2 linked regions of the Caenorhabditis elegans genome follow. The protein of the gene in region 2 purifies or fractionates together with the protein of the main gene of each other region. This does not show direct contact. Each region holds a gene or a part of one and is shown on either strand. Other genes may lie near its edges. The genes, in order: F40A3.3 and lbp-5.

Region 1 (3,658 bases), on a different chromosome or scaffold from region 2:
GGTTTCTCATGTCATACATCAAATTTTCTAATTTGAAATTTATATGTTAGCCCTGAAAGATTTATTAATCACCTTCAGGAGTTCCATTGATACATGGCTTCTTCTTGCGGAGAACGCAGGCTACTAAAACAATTAGTATAGCGGAGAGAAGAATCCTCCGAAGCATTTTCTGCTGCAGCAATTACCTCAACAAAAAACCTGTGTGTTTTTCTTTTTCTGCCCTTAGTTCAACTTTAGTTTCAAAGTCAAGTGGGTGCAATTAGGTAAAATATCGGAGAAGACAAGAAAGAAATTAAGAAAATTTTTGGATTCGAAGAAAGACACTGGAATCAATTTGGAAAACGGAAAAGAAATTGGAGAATTGTATTGTAAATAGACTGTGGATGAGAATGGAGGGTTAACATGATAACCTGCGAGCGAAGAAGACAGAAATTTGGAAGTCGTCGGCGTCAGAGAGAAGAAAAATGAGAAGAGACGAGAATGTCGAAATGGGAGAATTCGAATGGCCACTGCCTGGTAATCAGTAACGATGATTGGAGGACGGATAGGGAGAGAAGATAACAAAGTTAGAATCGTCTGAAGATTGCGATTTGTTTATCATCGTTTCATCAAATTTATTTACTTCTTGGATAGGAAAAAACTGGCTGATAGAAAATCACAATATAAATTACAAACTTTGTATTTAGCAATTTTACAGAAGAACAACTCATGCTCCGAGTTGCTTGTTGAGAATTGGCACGTAGTCGTCGTACTCGGCCTGGAACAGATTTCCGAAGACTGGAGCACCGAGCTTGTGCTTTGCGACGAAATCGGCAGCCTTCCATCCTCCTCTTTTGTCTCCGGAAGTGTTGGTTAGACGTCCGTGCTCGGCATCTTCGATGCGTCCAGATTGCTTGTAGATCAGGTAAACGTAACGATGGAGTCCAGTTTTTGGTGGTGGTCCGGCGCCGATGTACTCGGAAAGAGTGTCTCCTTTGGCAATGTCGTTTCCTGGAATGTTGACGACGAGCCAGTGATGCCACTCTCGGTAGGTTGGCTCTTTGCGAGATGGAGCATCTGGATCCGTCTTGATGAGAGTGTAGAGTGCTCCTGGCTCAGCATCCCATTTTACTTCTGGAGTATCCTTTACTTGGGTTGGAGTGAGAACGTTTCCAAGATTAGCCTGAAAACATTTTTAAACATTTTTAAATTTCTTTTTTTTGAATTACCTCGACGCCAGAGTTGAACTTGACAGACACAACCTTGGATGGTGGGTTGGAAGCGAGAACGTCTGGAATGACCTCGTGTTTGGTGAATGCTTCGGCGGCCATTGTAGCGAGACCTCTGAAATAAACAAAAAGGTTTAGTTGAATAAAAAAATTGGAAAAGAAGAAAAATATGAACGAAAACCTTTGGAATCTAGCAGAAGTAGTTGCGGCAGCGAATGGAGCTCTAGAAGCAAAAAATAAGGCGGGGAGCAGAGATCTCGTTACCAGGACGACCATCCTTAATTTATTTTTTTATTATTTTCTCACGCGAAAGAAAAACAATACAATCAATTAGTTTTCACTACATACCGATGAGAAATCATGTTTTGTCAGAAGACAAAATATCAGGAATGGATGCAAACAACGAAACATGTCGAGAGAAACTTATTTAGGTCGTGTCAGAACGAAAATTTATTATTTGAGAATGTAAAAGATATCAATTTGAACATCGAAAGCTTTTTTCTCGGTTTAAATGGCGATAAAAGTGAAGAAAAAATTTAAAAAAAAACAGCGAATTAATTATTAAAATGTATATCTTGCCCACGAGTAGTACGGAGCTAACTCGTGGCGAGACCTTACTAAAAAATCCTGGATGCGCCTTTAATAAATACCTAAAGTTACTGTATTATTTATTATTTTCGCAAACATTTTCATTTAAAAATGAATTTTCGATCAGATAACAGTTTTGAAATCATCAAATTTATTTACAAAAAAATCTTCGGTTCACATTAATACGGGCGCAGCGCCTGCAACGGAGTTTCGTTGTTCTCTGCGTCTCGCTGCACTTTTCCTGTCTAACTGTCAACACATAATTGTAATGTTTGTGTCTTTTGGAGAAATGTTAAATTAAAAATCGACTAGAAAAGTGAAAAAAAAACTGGTTTCAGAAAACATCGAAAAAAATGATAAAATTACGGTACCTCTTTAAAGGTACAGCCTGGTTTCAAAAGGTTTCATGGCCTTATACAAAAACCTTATACAAATTATTAGGTCCAAAATCGCTGATTTTTCTTCGCTTTTACATAAAAACGACTAAAATCAGCCATAATTGTTAGATATTCTGCATAGTTCAAAAATTTATTGGTACACAAGGCAAGACCCATAACAAAACGTATTCTATCGAAAATTACAAAATTCTTAAATAATGTTCAAATTTCAATGGGATGACTTTTTCGATTCGAGTGCAGTGGAGATCTCTCCTCGTTGTTGGCACGGCGACAATGAAAGAAACAAATGAGAAATACGGCAATGATGATGAGAGCTATCACGATGAGCAATAAGGCGACGACCATTCTGAAAAAATGGGTCTCACCAAGAAGAATATTAAGAATGAATTGAAGGAACTAACCGATAGATTCCATCGACGGTTTGATGAATTTTCCTAGTTGTGTCATAGTTGTCATAGATTATTCCTGAAAAAAAAATTAATTTTTTGTAATTGTCTCGAACTTCTTTTTAAAAACAGTTTTCACTCAACAAAAATGCAAAAAACATGTGTAACTTCGCGGCTCTTGGGGACATGGACTAACTTGAGATTTCAGGAATTTTTGACTATTTTTTTTAGTAAATCTTCAGAAATAATTGATTGAAAAAGAAGCAACTGAAAATTAGAAATTGTTGTCCGGATATAGTGACGTCATACTAAATTTACCGTGCGACACCAGTGGAAAAATAAACGAGTATAAATTGTTTTTTTTAATTACTGGTTTAAGATCAAAAGGAAAAGGTGCAGTGTGCCGATTCAATACATCACATTTTACGAGCAAATGTTTGATTTCCAAAAAAAATTAGTGCGTCAAATTTTACAAAAAAAGAATAATTCACCCTCACGCGTACAAATTATTAGTATCTCATCACAAAATCCACATGCACCAAAGCACATTTTCGTTTCTACTACAGTACACTTTTGACTAACCGTCCGCAAAAAGAATACCTAAAAGACCATTAAGAATGGCTTTCTGCTCCTCACGAATCGATGAACTATAACTATCCATTCGCGACATGGTTTGTTGTTTTTTGTTTCTTGTTTGGAGAAAACTGATGATGGACGAGTTCACGGACGACACATTTGATCCTTTTTCGCCGGAAACTGCAAAAAAAAGTTAGAGGAAATTGGATAAAAAATAAGAGGAGGTCAAATGAAAACGAAATGAGTTCGAAATATAGAGGGTATTTTGGATAAAAATGAAATTGAGAGAGGGATTACTTTAAAAGTGCAAAGTCACTTTGACACGTTTTTTTTCGTTTTTATAAATTAATATTGAAGATCTGTTAAAAGCAGTTTATGTACCGTCACAGGTAATCTAGAAATATCTTTGAATTTAAAATTAATTATTCAGACAGTCTAGGTAAATAATGTTGCTATTTTTAGTCGAAATGCCAAAAAAAAACTCATCAATTTGTCCTATGTA
Region 2 (3,809 bases):
TAGTTGACAAAATAAGAATTGCTCTAAAAATTTGGGATATCGATGATTTCATCTGCATTTTGCCATCAACAGTGCTTGATGAACTTGATTATCAGAAAACGAAGAATCGAGCAGTTCGTCCAGTAATTCGGGCATTAATGGAGCTTCAAGCAGAGGGAAAAATTGTGCTAAAGAAATGTGATAACGAGAGAAGCTGCGCGGAGCAATTGGTTCAAAGTGCACGAAGATCTGCAGAAGATCACAAGCATATTGTCGCTTTTCTGTGCAAAAACCCGAGTGAACAGAAAGAAATGGAAGGAGTTACTTTTTACGATATCGATCAGTTCTACATGAAGTATTTGGAGTGATGAAAAGAAAGGGCTCTACACTGAAAAATCTCACGATGGCTGGAATTGGAACCGCTTAAAATCATTGAGATCATATTCTTCGGATTTATTTTTGATTTATTTTACTGGATTCAATTATTTGACAATTTTTTGGTAATAAAATTTTCTAATTAACTCTTTTCAAATCATTTCACAATAGTATTAAATTAATAGTAGTACTATGTTCCATTTCGTTCAAATTGAAAATTCCAAGAGCACTCCCACGTATCTAAACAATTATGAATTCTTTTGCCACCCCCGTAAACCATTTAGAAAATTGCATTTTCATTTCACAATCATACCTTTTCGATTCCTATCAGCCTACTATAAATTGATTTTCATGAAGTAAGTAACATTTTCAATTTTTATGCTCCGCAAATCGAAGCTACACATTCCCTGACTGTGAGTATTCTAGAGTACTGTAAGTCTACTATTTTGCTAAACGTGCGAAAACTTCCAGATACCGAATTAGTTCCAGAACATTCACCCTCACTAAAAACTCTAAAATCACCTTAATTTGAATGTTCCTCTGTGTCCCGTCAGACAGTGTCTAGGGCCGATTCTCAGTCAGATAAATAGCGCTCTTCTTTTAGAAACAGGGTGAGAGGAGATTGTATCACTCTCATATCGAGGTCATTCAAATGAAAAGAGGTATACTTTTGTTGATTGAAATACATTTGTGTAAAGTTGAGATGTTTCGATTTGAAAACTTGAGAAAAAAATCTGGTTTTGTTTACTAATTGCGGCTTTTACAGTTTACCATTTACTGCTGTATTGTCTCGTCATGCCACTTAGACACCCAATTTTCAATTGAAGTAGAAATTATATTTCCTTCTTTTTCCAAATCTCACTAAGATTATATCAACTACGAAATCGATACAAAATATCTACATACAAACTGTTTTTCTGGTGAATTCTACCTTACTCCACTCATCTTTCCAAATTTTCAGTGAATGTTATCATATTTCTAAAACTAGGTATGGGAAAACTGAAAATGTGCCCTGAAAAGCAGTGGTCCCCCAATATTTTTTTAAATTAATGTTGGTTTTCGCAACGTCATAGTTGTCAAATAAGTCGGTTTCAAAACTTGAACAAACATTTTCGATTGACTCACACATAAACGGACACAGTAAAGTCAGAGAAAAGTCACAATTTTGATTTTTTTTTGTTTTTTGTATAACAAATACTGTATAAACACTCAAATATTTAAAAGCTTCTTGCGAAAAATTCCCGCATTTATAGTAGATCAATCCGTTATGGTACATCTTGACATATAGTTCTGGAAAATATTTTTTTAATCGAAAACCTACATTGGCCATCGTTTAACCTTGTTGCCCGCCATCTCTTCCACGTTAAAAGTAGCGTTTTGGTGTTATGCTCAATTAAAAAAATGTCAAAAATTGTAAAAAAAAAAACGAGATCGCATTGTATCTACTTTTGAACGACACTATATGTCAAAAGTTTAAAAAGTACTATTAATCGTGATTCACCATGTACATACTACACTCCATCTTAGTGTATTCCATGTTATCAGTTCAAAACCGTCCAAAAATTGACCAACTTGTCCATCACCCAATACAACGTGGCAGCAGTTTCAGTACACTCCCCCTTGTGTCCTATTTACTATATATACGTTTTTCTGGTTTTCACTCATCTAAACCACTTTCTCCTGCTTTTTGTATTAATATTCCTTATTGCAATGCATTACATTTTTTATTTTTGTCATTAGAAACTATAAATTTAATAATACGAATCCAAAAGAATCATAGGCAATTTTCTAAAAGCAGAAATAAATCATCCAGAATTTCTTAATACTTATTCGTTTTTCATTTAATTCCCTTTATTATTATTCTGGTACTTCTTTATCAAAATTGTAAATTTCCAAATTTTCAGAATGTCTGCTGAACAATTTGTGGGTCGTTGGAAGCTTGTCGAATCCGAGAATTTCGAGGATTACCTGAAAGAAGTTGGGGTTGGTCTTCTTCTTCGTAAAGCCGCGTGTGCTGCAAAACCAACTTTAGAGATCAAAGTGAATGGAAACAAGTGGCATGTCAATCAACTTAGCACCTTCAAGAACACCACATTGGAGTTCACTCTGGGAGTGGTAAGTGAAATTTTGAAAAAAGGAAACGAGAATAGAACTCAACAACTATATGGCTTTTTCGTTAGTTATTTTCTTTCCCATTTAAAAACTTTCAAATGCCTTTCTCGAAACTCTAGCAAACACTGATAAGACTCAAACTAGTGGGTCAAAGTGCAGGAAGGTACACGTGGTTTTCAGTGTAAACAAAAAAATGAGAATAAAGAACAACTGAACTTTGTATCCATTTGAACACTACACACAACAAACGGGTGTTCTATTAACATAGATACACTTTGTGGCATGAAGAAATAATCTAATGTTTATGTCTTTCAGAATAGGTCTATGGAAAATTCAATTGCGAACTCTAAACGAACATTTGAAATCAAAAAAAGAATCATATTAAATCTAACAAAATATTTTTTTTTCGAATTAGTTACGATCTTTAAATGTGTCGGCTACATGAAAAACAACTCCCGGTTTTCATTCCATTAAAGTTCAGTTTTTAAATTGACTGTTATAATTTACCATTTAAAAAAATAGTGTTTTTTAGGAATTCGACGAGACAACACCAGACGGTCGTCAATTCAAGTCAACCATCACAATTGAAGATGGAAAAGTAGTTCATGTTCAAAAAAGGATTAAGGATTCAGATCATGATTCTGTAATCACTCGTTGGTTTGAAGGAGAAAAGCTCATCACAACTCTCCAATCTGGATCAGTTATCTCTCGTCGTGCCTATATTCGTGAATAGATTATTTTGAATATTGTTCTTGTTTTGTTCGGTCTTTGATGCAATAAATAGCGAAAAATAGTGTTTTTGTTTACGCAGAGTGACGTTTTAAAGGACCAGAAACCCTTTTCTTTTCTCTGTCTCTGTTAAAAAAGGCCTTGTTTATTTTCCGTAAAATTTTTCATTAGTTTCAACAATTTTTAAAGAAACACTTTTGTTTTAGATTTTTCTTTTTTTTTAAATTAATTTTATTCTTTATATTGATTAGACTTTCATGACCAAAATTTTGAGAAGAGTCTAGTGAGCTCCTTCCTACTCGCATTTGAAGAAAGTTTTATTATCAGCATTCAGGAAATATAATCTCTGAAAAAAAACATTCCAGAAGGACAAAATGACCACAAAGGAAGGATTTGATTATCGAAAGTTTCTTGTTGATCTCGCCTCCGGAGGCACTGCTGCAGCAATCTCAAAAACTGCCGTTGCTCCAATTGAACGTGTAAAGCTTCTACTTCAAGTCAGTGATGTCTCTGAAACAGTAACTGCCGATAAAAAATATAAAGGAATTATGGATGTTCTTGCTAGAGTGCCAAAAGAACAAGGATATGCAGCATTTTGGAGAGGAAACCTTGCA

Evidence for each region.
Region 1: the proteins of lbp-5 (region 2) and F40A3.3 fractionate together in Caenorhabditis elegans (co-fractionation; one large-scale study listed by BioGRID). This does not show direct contact.

What each region holds. Positions count from the first base shown.
Region 1 is NC_003283.11:7,875,441-7,879,098, reverse strand, and holds F40A3.3 (Phosphatidylethanolamine-binding protein), read right to left. Parts: upstream 1,571-3,658; coding exon 1,557-1,570; intron 1,486-1,556; coding exon 1,390-1,485; intron 1,324-1,389; coding exon 1,209-1,323; intron 1,163-1,208; coding exon 707-1,162; downstream 1-706. Other genes in the region: F40A3.2 (EGF-like domain-containing protein), read right to left, coding at 73-166; F40A3.4 (Envelope glycoprotein N), read right to left, coding at 2,396-2,540, 2,596-2,659, 3,181-3,250.
Region 2 is NC_003279.8:6,730,720-6,734,528, reverse strand, and holds lbp-5 (Fatty acid-binding protein homolog 5), read left to right. Parts: upstream 1-2,252; 5' UTR 2,253-2,259; coding exon 2,260-2,469; intron 2,470-2,998; coding exon 2,999-3,199; 3' UTR 3,200-3,262; downstream 3,263-3,809. Other genes in the region: smg-5 (PIN domain-containing protein), read left to right, coding at 1-347; ant-1.2 (ADP/ATP translocase), read left to right, coding at 3,570-3,809.